2 linked regions of the Tamandua tetradactyla genome follow. The protein of the gene in region 1 binds, or shares a complex with, the protein of each later gene. Links are inferred from orthologs where the notes say so. Each region holds a gene or a part of one and is shown on either strand. Other genes may lie near its edges. The genes, in order: ANP32A and nucleoside diphosphate kinase A.

What was found.
Region 2: ANP32A (region 1) and nucleoside diphosphate kinase A share a complex: the UniProt entries of both Homo sapiens proteins name them as parts of the SET complex. The link is inferred for Tamandua tetradactyla from reciprocal best matches to the Homo sapiens genes ANP32A and NME1.

Annotation. Positions count from the first base shown.
Region 1 is NC_135340.1:86,158,394-86,167,477, reverse strand, and holds the start of ANP32A (acidic leucine-rich nuclear phosphoprotein 32 family member A), read left to right. Parts: upstream 1-5,134; 5' UTR 5,135-5,438; intron 5,439-5,952; 5' UTR 5,953-6,040; coding exon 6,041-6,106; intron 6,107-8,923; coding exon 8,924-9,073; intron 9,074-9,084. UniProt on the Homo sapiens protein: Multifunctional protein that is involved in the regulation of many processes including tumor suppression, apoptosis, cell cycle progression or transcription. Promotes apoptosis by favouring the activation of caspase-9/CASP9 and allowing apoptosome formation.
Region 2 is NC_135332.1:32,270,996-32,280,123, forward strand, and holds the start of nucleoside diphosphate kinase A, read left to right. Parts: upstream 1-4,779; 5' UTR 4,780-4,907; intron 4,908-6,546; exon of another isoform or gene 6,547-8,212; intron 8,213-8,721; 5' UTR 8,722-8,725; coding exon 8,726-8,851; intron 8,852-9,128. UniProt on the Homo sapiens protein: Major role in the synthesis of nucleoside triphosphates other than ATP. The ATP gamma phosphate is transferred to the NDP beta phosphate via a ping-pong mechanism, using a phosphorylated active-site intermediate.

The sequences.
Region 1 (9,084 bases):
TTCCCAGTCACATCTTTTGGGGACTGAGTATTATGAATATGAGGGGTCCTCTTGAGTGTTAAATTTGAAGAATGAAGCATACAATCCTGTGTAGGTTTGTTTTAGGGGATTGAAAGTTCTTTATACTGAGTAATTCCAGTTGTTGGACTAGAGAAAGTAACCACATTCAGATATTTTTAAATGGCCAGTAGTATTGTAACTCTAAACCCAAAGTACAAATTTTCAGTTTAATTTTAACTCCTTTAACTTTGCACTTAGCTCACACCCAGGACTTGGCAAAGGAAATGGGCCTTAATTTTTTTTTTTTTCCTTTTCTTTCTTTTTTAAACAGAACACACCCTGGATGTGAAAGGTATGTTCTTTTCATTTTGAAGGTTTTTAGAGCAGAGGCTGCCCAGTACAGATGAGAGGAATGGGGTTGGAATTGCAACAGAAGGAGTTAAGAATCTTAAATCTCTGGGGTCAGAAGTTTTGAAACATGTTAGCCTATCCTGAGACTCTCCATGGAGGTGGGGGATGGGCTAAGTAACATTCACAGGTCAACTGTTGAGCTGGTGATTTTGCTTTGCCTTGTTTGATTTGTTTAGACACTTCACAGGCAGCCTATCCTGCTGTCCCCAGTGTAACACACCATCCTGCCTTGCCTTGCAGAAGAAGTCGTGGGCTCCCCACCATGTGGCTTTAGGCTTTTTGGTGATATTCACCAACCTCAAAATCAAAGTCCTGACCTCTCCCTTTTCTCTTTGATCTCACCTCAAACAGTGCTGAAACCCCTACCAGGAAGGAAGTACACATGCAGTGGGCATTCCAGAGACTCTACTACCTCGACTATTAACAGCCATCTGGTCCTTCAGAAACCATAGGGTTTCTCAAGTGAATGGGAACATCTTTTCAGCTCCTGGAGGAGAGAGCTTGGTTCCCAGACGCTTCAGGGTCCCTCCAGATTCTTGCTTTCTGACTGCAGCATCATCTGAGCAAGGGCCCAGCTGGGTTTTGTCCTTTGGTTACCAAGGAAGTGTAACCAAAGGACTGTGTAACATCTGGGACTGCTAGAAGTGGCGCCCACCCAGCTAATGGGACAGCTGGAAAAGGGGTTAAAGGGAACAGTTGTGGTTAAGGGAACTTCTACACTTGAGTTGATGTTCTGGGAGAGTTTGTGCCCTTTTCATCTTTTTTTTTTTTTTTTTTTTTTTTTCTGTTTTATTGATAATGGCCATTCTGGTGGGTGTGAGATGATATCTCATTGTGGTTTTGATTTGCATTTCTCTAATAGCCAGGGAAGTTGAGCATCTCTTCATGTGCCTTTTGGCCGTTTGTATTTCCTCTTCTGAGAAGTGTTTGTTCAAGTCTTTTGCCCATTTTGTAATTGGGTTGGCTGTCTTACTGTTGTTGAGTTGAACAGTCTCTTTATAAATTTCATCTTTAAAGCCAACACTGACCACCTTGATTAGTATGTACCCCTCTAGGGTCAAGTCCTGAGATTTTAGGATAAGTGGTTCACCCCAACTCCTACCTTATTAAAAAAAAAAAAAAACAACCAAAACTTCATATTTTAAAATAATATCAGACTCACGCACAGTATAGTTACAAAAATAACACAGACCCCATACAGAAAACTCCAGCATACCCCCACGCCCCCAGATACCCAGATCTACCATTTTAACATCTTGCCACCTTTGACATATCCTTCTATCTTCCATTTATCCTGTCTGTCTGCCTGTATCTATCTAGCTGTTGTCTGAACATTTGAGAGTAGGTTGCATACATCATACTGCTTAAATATGTGATAATTCCATGTACATTTCTTACAAACAAGGATATTCATTTATGAAATTACCCAAAGTACAGTTTTCAAGTTCAGGAAATTTAATATTGATATATACCTTACATTTTACATTCTCGTATTTTCTTGTGTCCCAATAATGTCTTTTTGAACCTTTTCTCCTCCATTCTTATATCCCATCCAGTATCATACATTGCTTTTAATTCTTTTTTAAATGTGAAAACATATATATAACATAAATTTATCCATCCCAGTCCCTCCCAAGGATACTATTCACTTAATCACCACCATCCATTACTAGAACTTTCCCTCCACCGCAAACAGAAACTCTACACTCGTTTTACATTAACTCCCCATTTCCCCTGTTCCCCACCTCTGACAACCTCTACCCTGTTTTCTGATTTTTTTTTGTGGTTATGATGGGGCTTATAACATTTTAAATCTTTAGCAGCCTCATTTGCTTTGATACCACCTTAACTTCTAAGAGCATATATAAACTGTGTTCCTGTACCCCTCTATCACCTCACCTTTGTGTAATTCTTGTCATAGATTACATATTTATACGTTATAAATCCAAAACCGTTGATTATTTGTGGGAAGCAAAAAGTGGAGTTTCAAATTTAAAATATGATAGTGCGGGTATTTATATTTACTCATTTCACTGTCTTTACTGGAGATCTTTATTTCTTCCTATGGCTTCAATCAGTGTCTAGTGTTCCTCCCTTTCAACTGAAGAACTCCCTTTAGCATTTCTTATAAGGTCAGATAACTGATTACAATGTCCCTCAGTTCTTGTTTGTCTGTGAGTGTCTTAGTTCCTTCCTCTTTTTATTTATTTTTTTTTATTTTAGTAACATACCAACTAAAATTTCTCCCTTTTTAACTGTATTCAGAAATGTAATCTCCTTCATTTTTTAAATATTTTCTTTAAATTGTGAAATATAACATACACACAAAAAAGCAATAAATTTCCAAGTACATTTTAACAAGTACTTATAGAACAAATTTTCATGTTTGGTATTGGTTATGGTTCCACAATTTTATTTTATTTTTTTTCTTGTAGCTGCTCTTAAGACACTAGAGACCAACAGAAATATCAATATAATGATTCAGGAGTCATACTCATTTGTTAAATCCTTTCTTCTCTGTTATACGTCTCTTCTTTAAATAGCATATATATACATAAAAGCAATAAATTTCAAAGTATATCACAACATTTCCTTCATTGTTGAAAGACAGTTTTGCTGGATACAGAATTCTTGCTTGGTGATTTTTTTTTTTTTTTTTGCTTTTAGCATTTTAAATCTGTCTTCAGTGCCTTCCTGCCTCCTTGGTTTCCATAGAGAAACCAGCACTTGAATCTTATTGAGGCACCCCTGTATGTGGCATTTAGCTTCTCTTTTGTAGTCTTAAGAATCCTCTCTTTATCCTTGGCAGTCAGCAGTTTGATTATAACATGGCAAGGCATGGATCTATTTGGTTTTATCCTGTGTGGAGTTCATTGAACATCCTGAATATGTATATTCATGTGTTTGCTTAATTTGGGGAGTTTTCAGCCATTATTTCTTTGAATATTCCCTCTGCCCCTTTCCTCTCTTTCTGGGACCCCCACAATGGTGATAAGCTTGATGATGTCCCACAGGTTCTTCAGGCTCTGTTCACTTTTCTTCATTTTTTTCTTTTTTCTCCTCCTCAGACTGGATGATTTCTGTTGTCTTCAAGCCCCACTGATTTTTTCTTCTGCGAGCTCCAATAAGCTGTTGAACCCTTCCTGGGAACTTACATTTCTGTTACTATGGTTTTTCAGCTCTGTTTGGTTCCTTTTCATAATTTCCATCTCTCTGTTCTCTTTATGTTCATCTGTCCTTTTCCTGATTTCCCTTAGTTCTTTGTCCATGTTTTCCTTCAGCATCCTGAGTATATTTGGGACTGATTTTTAAAAATCTGACTGATACATCTCAGATCTGGTTCTCCTCATTGATGGTTTCTAAGGCTTTAATTTTCTCTCTTGTCTGTGCCATCTCTTCCTGTATCTTTTGTATGTTTTACAGTCTTTTGTGAAACCTGGCTATTTTGATATTTTAGTGTGCTATCTTGAAATTTAGATTTTGAGTCCCCAATTCCTTAAGCTTTTATCAAGCTAGTATTCTGATAGTGCTTTCTTTGAATGCCAGGAATTAACAGTAAAAAAGGAAACACCTTTCCCAGTCTTAGCAGATTGATCTATGCAAGTGCTGCCCTTCAGAGCTTATCTGCACAGTCAATTTGGAGAATAGCTCCAAGCCAAAGCCTGGGGCTTCCTTGATCTTTTCCTACGGGCCTCTTACCTTGGGCATGTGCTCACGGCCCTAGAAATTCCCTCATGTATGCGGTTCCACGTGTCCCCTCATCCCTAGAAAACTGTTTTCTCACCATTCTGGGCACAGTACTGTTTGTCCTACAGCCAGCAACCCCTTGCTCCAGGCAGCACGGCTTGACTGCTCTCCCACAATGCTTTGTAGGAGACCTCAGTGAACTGCCTCCTCTACATGCAAGCCAAGTTCTGGGACAGCAAATCCCTCAAGTCACCACCGGATAGGTCAGGCCAGACATACATGTTCCCCGTATGTCAAAGAGGGTTACTTTGCTCCTTCTGTAACCAGGCCCAGAGCTCACACTGGGAGTGCAGGTTGACCAGCCAGAGCTTCGAAAGATCCTGTTACTTTTAATTTGTCTTTTTCTTGGTTTGGTTCGGTTCTTGACCTGTTACTGCAGTCGTTTAACTGTTTTCTAGAACTTAAGAAAGATTATTTTTGCCAGTTGTTGCTGGTCGTTCAAAGCTTCTGTGGGGGAACAGAGCCCTGAAGTGTCTCATTCAACCATATTAATTGGGACTTTCAGATAGGTAGTTCTGCTGTGAGTATAAGATGAGGAGACTACCCCAATATAATGCATGTGATATACCTAGAGTGTGCCTGAAAAGGCTCAAGAAAGATTCTGGGATTATTAGTAATAAAGTTAGTAATGGCAGTGGCTTGTGTACTGTCCCCGAGTTTGGGTGTGGTGTTGGGAGCTGGGAAGTATCCTGGTCTGAGCTTTGAAACCCTGCCCTGTGTCTGTAGTATTCCTAGGCTGCCAGCAGGAGTGGCAGGCAGTATTGTGCCTCTCTGGGAAAGAGGCCAACTTCCAGGAGGAATTCCCTGACTCCCCAGCACTCCCTTCCCCCATTTCTGAGGCTCTCCTCTCCTTGGTTAATGGCAGTAAGAGGAGAAGCCCTTGACCCATCTAGCAAAACCACGTCTGAAATCTTTGAGGGTGGACTGGAATCCCTTTTCATATTTGTCTTTCTTTGTGGGAGCTTAAAAGAATTCCCAGGGCCTTCCAAGGAAGCCAGTTACTAAAGAAGACTGTTTAGTCTTCTTTATTAACTTCTTTTTTAGACCTTGTGACTCCAGTGTTTACTGCAAATGAAAGCGATGGTTCCCCCTCCCTCCCTCAATATAGTTGATTTCTGTATGTTCGCTCTGATCTCCTACAGCCTGGCTTCCTGACTCTGTATTGTTTTCCTGTCCGAGAGCAGAAGGCCTCACAGAATTTATTCCCAGGCACTCTTGGCCAACAACTTTGAGAAGGTGGTTTGACCTGGCCATCTAGCCTCTCCTGGGGCTTGAGGAGGGTAAGAAAGGAACTTAACTTATTTCATCTCAGAACCAATTTCAGAAAGGTGGGCCTTGGTGGCCAGGGTATCTCTGGGAAAGAGCTGCCATTCCCTGGGTTTTATCCTCTGTGATCTATGCCAGATCAAACCTAAAAACTGCTGCTGGCTGAGACAGGGTGCTCTGCCTCTGTTCTGAGGAAAAATTGGAAACAGAGTAGCTGTGGGCCCCTGCAGGACTCAGATGCAGGTGTGCCCTCAGGGGTCCCCTGCTGGCAGGGATGGACCAAGGGGAGGCTGGGTATCCTGTCCCCAGCTCTTCTTCCAAGTTTCCGCTTGGCTCAGAGATGCCTGAGTAGGAGGGAGACACTATTCTTTCTACCCCACCTGGAGGACTGTGACAAGCTGTGGTCATCTTGGACCCTTTGGAAGCTAGACAAACTGGCCTGCTCAGAGCCTGGGGCACTGTGGAGGGTGGGAGGGAAGGAACTGCCCTAGACAAGGGCTGGGTTGAATGTCCATCTGCCTGTCTAAGAGAAGAAAAGACTTCAGACAATTGGAGGGCTACTATTGAGGACAAACCTGTTCCATGTGAGCTATTGGTGAAAAATCAGGACCTGTGGATGGAAGTCTGGAAGTCCCAGGAGACATCAGTAAATGTTTCCTGGCAGGCTGCAGGTAGTAGAAAGGTGAGGATGGCTGTGATCCTGGGCTGGGTATTATAGGGGGTTTTGAGTATCAGATACAGCCCTGAGGGATCACCTTTAAGGAGCTTTTCAGCCCTGGTTTATTTCATGCCTGAGACTTAATTACTTTCTCTCAGATGATCTTCCTACCATCTTTACTAGAGCCTGGAATTTCACTTGCAACTCTATTCCTGCATTTAAGACAAATCTACTTCTAAAAGCCTCCTTCTGTCTCCTTAGAAATAAAAGTTGTTTTTGTTTTTAATTTTTTTAAACATAACATACAAATGTGAACATTATTAGCATATGATCATTCCATTCTTGGTATATAGTCAAAAACTCAAAGTATCATCACTGTGATCATTTCTTAGAACATTTGCATTAATTCAGAAAAAGAAAAGAGAACAAAACTCATACATAACATACCCTTTACCTTTCCCTCTCATTGGACTACTAATATTTCCATCTACCCAATATATTTTAGCCTTTGTTTCCCCTATTTTTTTCTATTCCCATTACCATTCCCTTTCATTAATCACTAGCAGTTCAATTTACTAAATTTAACATTTGTTCCACCTATTATTTATTTATTTTTAATCCCTATGTTTTACTTATTTGTCCATACCGTAGATAAAAGGAGCATGAGACACAAGGTTTTCACAATCACACAGTCACATTGAGAAAGCTGTATCATTATACAATCATCTTCAAGAAACATGGCTACTGGAACACAGCTCTGCATTTTCAGGCACTTCCCTTCAACCTCTCCAATATAACATAACTAAAAAGGTGATATCTAAATAATGCGTAAGAACAACCTCCGGGATAACCTCTCAACTCTGTTTGAAATCTCTCAGCCATTGACACTTTATTTTGTCTCATTTCACTCTTCCCCATTTAGGTCAAGAAGGTTTTCTCAATCCCTTGATGCTGAGTCCCAGCTCATTCTAGGATTTCTGTCCCACATTGCCAGGAAGGTCCACACCCCTGGTAGTCATGTCCCACGTTGGGGGGGGGGGGGCAGTGAGTTTGCTTGTCCTGCTGACTGAGAGAGAGGCCACATCTGAGCAACAAAAGAGGTTCTCTTGGGGGTGACTCTTAGGCCTAAATTTTAAGTAGGCTTGACCTATCCTTTGTGGGGTTAAGTTTCATATGAGCAAACCCCAAGATTGGGGGCTCAGCCTGTAGCTTTGGTTGTCCACACTGCTTGTGAGAATATCAAGAATTCAACTTGGGAAAGTTGCATTTCTCCCCATTCTCACCATTCCCTGAAGGGGACTTTGCAAATACTTTTCCACTCACTGATCAAATCACTCTGGGATTCATCGGGGCATCACTCTGGACAAACCTACAAACTCTCATGCCCTACTCAAGGTTCCATGTACTTGTGGTATTCAATTAAACTGTCCACACAATTTATATTAGGAAATGCACTAGTCAAATTATAAATTTTTTACCAAATAAACATTGTTTTGCTTTAGTCTCACATAAATTAAAGTTTTTAAAATATGAATTACCATGTTTTCAGCACCCTGCAATACTGACGTTCCTTTGTTCTTCCTCATGCAAAAACATTTTATAATTTGTACATTTGGTCACTATCATTGTACACTCTAGGCATTCCTAGATTATACCATCTTAGTCTTTATCGTCTGTCTTTCCTTCTGATCTCATTTGTGCCTGTCATTCTCACATTCAGCTTCAAGAAATAAAGGGTTTTAAGACTCAAATTTGTGGTAAGAGGAGAAGGGAGAACATAAGGACTCTAATAAGGCAAAACTACCTCTAGGGAGTTGGAGAGGGATAAGAGGTCAGAGGTACTGCCAAAGGCCTTTTAGGCTTTGCCAACCTCAGCATGTCATGGGCCAACCTTAGGTTTGTGGCTTGATTTCCATTTTTGCCTCCCACTTCTTTGCTCAGGACCCCGAAGAGCAAAATTAAAGTTGTGTTGTTCTATATAATTCTTAATACTTAATTAAAATTGAATTTAAAATTCAGTTCATCGGTCACACTAGCCACATTTTGAGTGCTCAGAAGCCACATGTAGCTAGTGGCTACTCTCTTAGACAGTGAGGAACATTGCCCAAATTGCTGGATGTTCTATTGGACAGTGCTGGTCTGGAGAGGAAGAAGAGTCCTGGTCTGCTGCCCGTCGTGGAGCAGGCCAATGGGTGACCTTGGTGATGAATGCCAGCATCAGGTGGGCAGGCTTTGCCTGATGTCAGGAGCTGGTGAGAGCGAGCATGTGTGTGAATCTGGGAAACTGTCAGCAGGCAGCAGGTCAGGGACTCGTGGAGGCAAAAGGAAGTGGGGCGGTGAGGATCAGAAGTAGGTAGCTGGGATGGTTAGGTTGGGGTCATAAAAAAGGCACTGGAGTCAGGGGAGATCTGATAGTGTTGAGTCCTAGGCCCAGAGGTCCTCAACAACATAGTGGCCAGTCCTGGTAGGGAGCTGTGGGACTGGTGTTTTCGTTTTAAATGGGGTTTGGGGGAGAATGTGGCATTAGGGTTGGAATAAAACCACCTTCCTGGGCATAGCAACAGAGCCTGTTGGATTTGTCTCCTCCAGTCCAGCAAAAGCTCCTGTCTGAAGTGGCTTCCTGGTTTGGCAACTCTGCAACCCGACCCTCCTTTTCTCCTCAATAGTGCTGAAGGCAGAAAGACCAGGATAGGTGAACTGTCCTTTGATCATTGGCAGAACAGTGATCCAGAAGAACCAGAAAAGCTCTGTCTCCATACCCACAAAGGAGGGCTCTCTGTCACCGTTTCCACTACTTCTGCCTTCCCTTAACTTCCATTCATGCATAACTTTCCTTTCCAGGTGAAAGAGCTTGTCCTGGACAACTGTCGGTCGAATGAAGGCAAAATCGAAGGCCTCACAGATGAATTTGAAGAACTGGAGTTCTTAAGTACAATCAATGTAGGCCTCACCTCAGTCGCAAACTTACCAAAGTTAAACAAACTTAAGAAGGTAAATATGAG
Region 2 (9,128 bases), on another chromosome or scaffold:
TCTTTGTCCATGTTTTCCTTATCTCTTTGAGCATATTTAGGACCATTTTTTTTAAGTCTTTGTCTGGAATGCTCCGGGACTGAATCTCCTCATTGATGTTTTTTAATCGCCTTAACCTTCACCTTTGCCTGGGCCATTGTTTCTTGCTTCTTTATATGTTTTCTAACCTTTTGTTGAAACCTGAAAATATTTTGATACTTTTGTGTGTTATTAATAGAATGTAGTCTCTAAGGCATCTGCTCCTTAAGCTTGTATCCAGTTAGTTTTAAGACGAGGCTTTACTTGAATGCCAGTCACTGAGAAGAAAGGAGAAGGAGAAAGAGAAGGAGAAAGGGAGGAAGAGCAAAGAAGGAAGGGAGGAAGAAGGAAAAAAAAGAAAGCACCTTTCCAGGCTTTGTAGATTGATTTGTGTGAGTGTTCCATGCCAAAGCAGAGTGGCTACTCCAATTCTTTCTGCACATGTGTCTTGGCTTGGGCATGTACATGTGGCCCTAGGAATTCCCCATTTTTATGGATATGATGTCCCCTGTTCTCTAGGAAACAGTTTCCTCATGGTCCTGAGCACTAAACTGTATGTCCTGCAACCAGCAATCCTTTGCCTTAGGCACCACAGTTTAACTGCTCTCCCACAGTGTTGTGTAGGAGTATTCTATGAGCTGCCTTCTACACACAGGGCAAGCTCTGATACAGTGAGTTCCTCAGACCACACCAGATAGATTTGCCAGACACATACATGTTCCCAGTATGTGCATAAGGTTATTCTACTCCTTCTGGAACCAGGACTGGGGATCCATACTAGGTGCATGGTCTGTCTCCATGCCAAGCCAGTGAGAGGTTTGGGGAGGCGTCAGCCAGGGCTTGAAGAAATCCTACATCTTTTAAGTAGCCTTTTCTTGATTTGCCCCTCGCCCCGTTAATACAATCCTTTAACTGTTTTCTGGAGCTTTTAGAAAGATGTTTCTGCCGGTTCATGCTGGTTGTTCAAAGCTTCCAAGGGGGATGGAGCCCTGAAGTGTCTCACTCTCTTATCTTGATTGGGGCCTTCAATGGTCTTTTGAGTTCTAGAATTTTAACATTTTCTGATAAGCCACTGTCTTATCCTCCAAAACTTCAATGGCTTTCCACTAACTATAGCCCAAAGTCTAAATTTTTTAGATTAGCATTCAAGGCTTGTCACTAATCTGGTGACCTTTTCCCCTGTTTTTCCATGGGAGAGTCTATTAGGAATATCTAATCAGTTTCTCAGAAATTTCTTACTTTTTCCTTCTTGCATCCTTTGCTTTTGGCTATATTCCTAATCCCCCAATTCCTACAGATATATCTACTTACTACTTTTTTTCTGGGTATCTGAATCCAATCTCTTCTATAAAATGTTTCCACCACCCCATCAAGGCAACCTAGCAACCTCTCTTTTTCTGCCCACAATACTTGATATTATTAGTTCAGTTCACTAAACTTCACCTCTATTATTATTTTGGGCTGTGGATACATTTAATTAAAGAGTTATTTAGCAGGGGGTGGAAGGCCAGTGCAAAGGAGTGAATTACTACTGCCTTAGGTATAAATTTCCACTGTCAGTGATTTCAAGAGGAGGCTGGCTGATTCCTTGTCAGGGTTTCTGAAGAGGTGATTTGTCACAAATTATTTAAGATTCCTTTTAACTTGAAATTCTATAAAGACATAGTTTTCTTTTCTTTTTTGGGGGGGGGTGGGTGGGTGCATGGGCCAAGAATCAAACCCAGGGCTCCTGCATGGCAGGTGAGTATTCTACCACTGAACCACCTGTGTATACTAAGACATAGTTTTCTGATTTGGTTCACAGAAACATTTACCTGTGGAAGCTCAGAGGGCTGTTGTAGGATTGGGAAAGGACGGTCAGGGTGGAGTCATGTATTCAGGATGGCTTCCAGGAACAGATGAGATCTTCCTATTTTCCACTCCCTATACCTCTTCCTCAGTATCTGCCTGGGCAAGAACCTCTTCGACTAATAAGGCTTAAATTATCAATTTAAATGAATCTGTCTCTAGGACATGGTCTTATAGAATCTACCAATCAGTAGCATTGGAATCATTTGGGAACTTATTAGATATGCAAACTCTCAGACTCACTGAATCAGAATCTGTATTTTAACAACTCCCCAGGTGATTTCTTCTTCTTCTTCTTCTTCTTTTTTTTTTTTTGCATGGGCACGCACAAGGAATTTAACCCGGGTCCTCGGCATGGCAGGCAAAAACTCGGCCTGCTGAGCCACCGTGGCCCGCCCTCCTAGGTGATTTCTTTATACATAAAACTTTTAGAAACATTACTATAGTGGACTGCAACCACTGAAAAGGATTTTGTAAATAATTGTATTGAACTGACATTTTATGCACCCTCTCCAAAAAAAAAAAAAAAAAAAAAGAAAGAAAGAAAGAAAGAAAAAGAAAAGAAACCTGGGATTCTTCATCTAGTTATCTTTTTCTCATACCCCACATCCTATCCATCAGCAAGACCTATGGGCTCCATCTTAATATATTTCCTGTAACTAACCACTTGTTTGCATCTCCTTTGTCACCACCTATTGCAAATCATGATTATCTCTTACTTGGATTACTACTGTATTCCCAAACTGGTTTGTTTTTGTTGTTGTTGTTTCATTTAACATTAAAAAAAAAATCTTGAAATAATTGCAGATTCAAACCAAGTTCCAATAAATGGACAGGGTAATCCTGTGTACCTTCCTTTAGTTTCCCCCAGCGGAAAAATCTTGAATAACTATAGTGTAATATTAAAACCAAGAAACTGACATTGGTACAATCCACTGAATTCATTCATATCTCACCAGTTGTACATACTCATTTGTCTAGTTCTATGCAACTTTATCACATGTGTAGATTCATATAACTGCAACCACAATCAAGATACAGAACTCTTCCATTATCACAAGTCTCTCATACTGCTCCTTTATAGCCACATTCATACCCTGTACCCTGCCATCTCTAATTCCCGGCAAACATAATTTGTTCTCCATTTCTCTAATTTTATTTCAAGGATGCTATATAAATGGAATCATACTGTATACAACCTTTTTGACACTGCCTTATCTTTTTTTCCACTTAGCATAATTCTCTTTAGATCCATTGAAGTTGTTTTATATATCAACTGTTTTTTTTTTAATGGCTGAGTATTTCATGGTCTGGATGTACCATGGTTTGTTCAACTATTCACCAAGTAAAGACCACCTGTTCTGTTCCTAATTTTTGACTAATGCAAATAAAGCTGCTACGAACATTTGTGTTCAGTGTGATTGTGTTCATTTTTGGTGTGAACAGAACATAAGTTTTCAATTCTGTTCAAGAATGCCATTGCTGGGTGATGCTGTAAATTCGTGTTTGGTTTTACAAGAAACGGCAAGACTGTTTTCAAGAGCGGCTATATAATTTAAAATTCCTATCAGCAATGCATTGTGGGTGATTCAGGTTTTCTGCATCCTTGGCGGCATTTAGTGTTGTTACTAAATTTTCATTTTAGCCATTTGACAGTGTATAGTGATACCTCATTGTGGTTTTAATTTGCATTGCCCTAATGGCAAATGATGTCTAACATCTCTTCATGTACTTACTTGCCATCTGTATATCCTCTTCAACGAAATGACCTGTCTTTTGCCTACTTTCTAATTTTTTTTTAACTGTTGAGTTTTGAAAGTTCTTTATATAGTCTAGGTATAGGTCCATTATTAGATATGTGGTTTGCAAATATTTTCTCCCACTCTAACTTGTCTTTTCATCCTTCTCACAAAGTCTTTCCCAAGGCAAAAGCTTTTAATTTCGATGAATCTAATTTATTAACTGTTTTCTTTTATGGATTTGGCATTTGTTGTCAAATCTAAACATTCTTCCTTTAGCCCTCAGCTCGGAAGATTTTCTTCTTTTTTTCCTAGACATTTTATAGTTTAAAATTTTATGATCTGCTTTGAGTGAATTTTATATAAACTGTGAGGTCTAGGTCAAGGTTTTTTTTGCCTGTAGATGTCCAATGGCTCCAGTATCATTTGGTGAAAAGTCTCTTGATTCCACTTTTGTCCCATCTCTTCATCCATTCCCCTCACGGCAGTCAGAATGATTTTTAAAAAATAAGATGATGTCATTCTCTGTTCCAAACCCTACAATGACTTCCTACCACAATCTGGCCCCTCTCCAATGGGATGCCTACCGCTGGATGTCTTCAGTCATCTGGAATGCTCCCCCACTTCATTCAGGTCTAGTCTATTATTACTGTCAGTTCCTCAGAGATTTCCTCGACTAGACTTTTTCTTTTCCAACTAGACTTTGAATGTAGCCTTCCTCTTTAACTTTTTCCCCTTGCCTTGTTCTTTATAGCACTTACATAAAACGTTATTATACTACATATCAATTTATTGCTTATTGCTTGCCCCCCTTCTCCCCAAAACCCCACCAGAAACCCCAAGAGTTTACTGCTATATCCCCAGGGCCTAGAATACTGCCTAGAACATGGTAGGTACTCAATTATTTATTGCATGACTTGCTGAAAAAAGGATTGAATAAATATGAGGGAGCAGTACGTCAAATTTATGTAAGACGCTCCTTCAGACTTCGTGAATGGTCTGAGCGCCACCTCTCGGCGGTACCAGTTTGCTTAAAAAAACAAAACAAAACAAAAACGAGGCCGCCTGCCGGAAGAGCACGAAACTAGTGCCGGAAATTAAACATCGGAAGTTTGCGCCCTAGAATGACATCCTACCCATAGAAGGAAGCGTGGACGAATGGTGTCTTCTAAAATGGGACCTTCCCTGCCAGACCTCAGCAGAAGCGTTCCGTGTCCGTCAGTGCTGGGAACCACGTGGGGCCGGGGCGGGTTTCCGGTGTCTGTGGCAGCAGCCAGAGTTGAAGGCCAAGCAGCTGGAGGGGTAAGAGGGGTTCCGGATCTGGAATAGCAAGAAGAATGGGGTCCGGGATGAAGAGGGCGTTTGACGTTCGCCCTGAGAGGCGGGGGGGCGGGGGGGGGGGGAGGTGTGTGTGAGATGGAAGGGAAGGGATGAGGACCCTTTGTCAGCAGGTGCAAACCTGTCAGTGCACCTCCCACGCCACGTGGACTCGCCTTTGTACGTGGCTGCCTTTCACACCGGGCCGCGAGGTCTGGGGTTGTGCTTTATTTGACTCTCTCAAGAACAGTGCCTGGCCAATAGTTGGCGCGGGGTTTGTTGAGTGAATCACAGTGTTTGTGTAGCGGGGTTTGGAGAGGGACATTTGTAGGAGTGATTTCTGTTTTTTTTTTTAGCCCCATTTTCTCCTGGCAAAGCCTTGCTTTCATCTGGGGTTCTCCAGATAGCCTTTGAGGTTTGGTATCTCTTTTTTCGAGGGGAGGGGAGATAATAATTTAAGACGTTTTGTTCGCTTTTCCTGAGTGCTAGGCCATGTGGCTAGGTATTGGAAATTCGCACAGAATTAAACCAGCCCTCTCTGCAGGTCACAGACCAGACATTTATGCAGAAAATTCAAATACAATGTTAAGGTGCTGTGATAGGCCGTAAGTAAAGTATGAAGGCCAAGAGTCAGGAGGTGGCTGCTCTCCACATCAAGGATTGTCTTCCAAGATGAGGGGCCTTTCTCATTGTGTTGACACAGAGCAGGTCATGAGCTGATTCTCCTCTGTAAAAGGAAGAATCGAGATTAGATGCTCTCTAGACTCCTTTCCAGCACAGTAATCTGTGAAATTACAATCTCATATCAGATATTACTAATGACTGTAATTCTTCCTCCATCTATTGTTTATCCGCTAGTCAGAATATTCACTGCATCTTAGGGTATAGCATAAGTTGCATAGGGTTGGGGTTGGGAAACAGGTTGGACCCATTTCCTCATTTGTAAAATGAAGGGGTTGTAATGAAACAATCTAGAAAACTCCTTCCAGTTCTAATACCATGGCTGTGGCACTGGGTCAAACCTTGTTTCTTACTGTCTTGTTACCCTATGTCATTTTCACATGTAGTTTTCCCCATCTGGATTATTGAGAAAGAGGATGTCTTAGTTTTACACCCCTATCTTAGTCTGTCACTGTATTGGGTATACAGTAGGTACTTAAAACTTACTGAGGGAGCCTGGTGCCACTGCCACCCCGCGACGACCACCACCGCCCCCTGTCCTGCAGCCACTGCCTGTTTCGCCGCCGCCTTGGAACCAGCTGTATGATTAGGCCACAATCTTCAATGAGTAAACATATTCCTCAGTTCTGTGGTGTTCTTGGTCACACATTTGTGGAGTTTCTGAAGGGCAGCGGAGATTACTGCCAGGCACAGCACGACCTCTATGCAGACAAGTGAACTGTAGAACTCATTAGTACTCCACCAAGAAACCCCCATAAGAGTGGTTAACCTGGACACAGAAGTGTTGAATTGAAATCTGCAGAGCATTTTACAAGAGTTCTGATCTGGATGGGGTAAACCTCAGTGCACTACTTTAAATTGCCTCAGTATTACTGGATTGAAGAATCGCTGCTTCTTGTTAGGAGGTCCATTTCATTTCCCATTCCTCGCAACTTCATACTCAAAGCACTGAGAATTTCAAGTGGAGTATATTGAAGTAGACTTCAGTTTCTTTACATCGTTTCTGTATTCAATTTTTAAAATTTTTTCATAGCCCTTTGAGTGTTTTTAACTAAATTAACATGGCTCGAATGAACCGCCCAGCTCCTGTGGAAGTCACATACAAGAACATGAGATTTCTTATTACACACAATCCGACCAATGCAACCTTAAGCAAATTTGTAGAGGAACTTAAGAAGTATGGCGTTAGCACAATAGTGAGAGTATGTTAAGCAACTTATGACACTGCTCTTGTGGAGAAAGAAGGCATCCATGTTCTTGATTGGCCTTTTGATGATGGTGCACCACCATCCAACCAGATTGTTGATGATTGGTTAAGTCTTGTAAAAATTAAGTTTCGTGAAGAACCTGGTGGCTGCATTGCTGTTCATTGTGTTGGAGGTCTTGGGAGAGCTCCAGTGCTTGTTGCCCTAGCATTGATTGAAGGTGGAATGAAATATGAAGATGCAGTACAGTTCATAAGACAAAAGCGGCGTGGAGCTTTTAACAGCAAGCAGCTTTTGTATTTGGAGAAATATCGTCCTAAGATGTGGCTGCGCTTCAAAGACTCCAGTGGTCACAGAAACAACTGTTGCATTCAATAAAACTGGGGTGCCTGATGCCATTGCCTTGGAAGTGGAACTTGAGAGAGGAAGAACCTAATTTGTCGTACATATTAGCCACCATGTCGGTGAATAAGTCCAGTTGAAGCTTCCATAGGAGTATTGAAAAGCAGTTTTACCATGCTACAAGTTTGACAGAATTGCAGCCTCTATGTTTAGGTTACAATCAGCTTGTTTGGACACTTAGCAAAAGATTTCTTGCTGGTCAGCATTTAAAATGGGCTTATCATTTGTGACAGTTGACCTTTCCTGAAATCATGCAGTATTGAGTTATAAGTCCTCTTTTAAGTCTCTTATGCCACAATCTTATCAATATATAAGAAATTTAGAGAGATTAGCTGCCAAAATACCCAGCACAATACTTGTATATTTTTAGTATCATTCAGAATTTAAAATCCCAGGAACTATGAACACTCTAGACCTTATGTGGTTTATTCCTTCAGTCATTTCAAACATTGAAAGTAGGTCTGTTTGGTTATCTGCCTGGTCACTTTATGTTTACATCTCCCACATTCATACCAGTATACATCAGGTTTGCACAGCCATTGAATTTTGTTAGATTTTTACCAAGTCTTACGGTGATTATTTAATGTCTATAACTCATTTTGTGATGTTAGAGAAAACCTCCATTTTGAAAATTGACATTGTACAGAAGCACATGTCTTTAATGTCTCCAGACAAAAAAGCATTACAGTTAATTTGATGATTGCACTTTAGGGTGCAACTTAACCAGGAGGGCCTGACAAATAAATGGGAGGGGGCTATTAAATATTTTTAGTAAAGTGTTGCTTTTGTCTTGTGCGGAACATGTAGAATATGCTCTTTAATTTAGTAAATATTTTTTAAAGGTAGACATGCTTTGTGAGGGTAGCTACAATAATTCTTAATCAAAATTTCTGAAATTCTTGTAATTTTTTTCCATATCTATTGAAGGTTGTTTACCAACTATTTTTGTTCGAAGTGTGATTTTTATTTTTATTTTTTCCCCAACCTCTTGCAAAAAAAGAAGTAGGTTTCTGCTGATTCAGCAGACATCTAATATATGCCTTTTGAGCTGTGTAACTTAATATTTGGATACTTGATAATTTGTTTTATTATGTAACTGATAAATGGTGATGTGTATTAATGTTAGTTTAACCATATATTTATACTGTCTGGGAATGTGTGGCTATAGTTCTGTGGGAGAAATAATTTGTCAGTGTTCACCAGCTTGTAAAAACTTAGTGCGAAAGCTTAAACATCTAAATAAATGATGAAATGCAAAAAAAAAAAAACAAAAACAAAAAACAAAAAAAAAACTTACTGAGTTAAATGGGATAGAAATTGTAGCCCCTGTGTTGTACCCTTCCCCATTTTGGAAGATTAGTTCATGGATTAGGGGATTGGTTTTCTACCAGAGAGACTTGGAGTTGACATGACAGATTTAAACCAGCTTCATGGGGTAATCCTCTTGAGAAGGATAATGATGTGGACAGGATAGTCAGTGCTGTTCCTTTTCCCCATCTGCTTTTTCCCAGGACCATGGCCAACACCGAGCGTACATTCATTGCCATCAAGCCTGATGGGGTTCACCGGGGCCTCGTGGGAGAGATCATCAAGCGATTTGAACAAAAGGGATTCCGCCTTGTTGGTCTGAAATTCTTGCTGGTAAATGGATTTCATTCTTCCTGTTTCAGTGCCTTTGTAGTATAGGGGAACATGGCAGATTAGACTCTTTCTTCCTTTTTAGGTTTCTCTGTGGTTGTGGGCACAAATATCCTGAAATATGGAAATCCTTCAGTGCCCTAGCATCGTGACTGAATCGTGGAACAAATCAAGTTATTTGAGGAAATAGAAAATAGTCTCTCTTTTCCCTTGGCACTGCAGAGAATCACCTATTACTGCAGCAGTGTAATTTCTGAGTTGGAGCTTTATGGCATTTTTG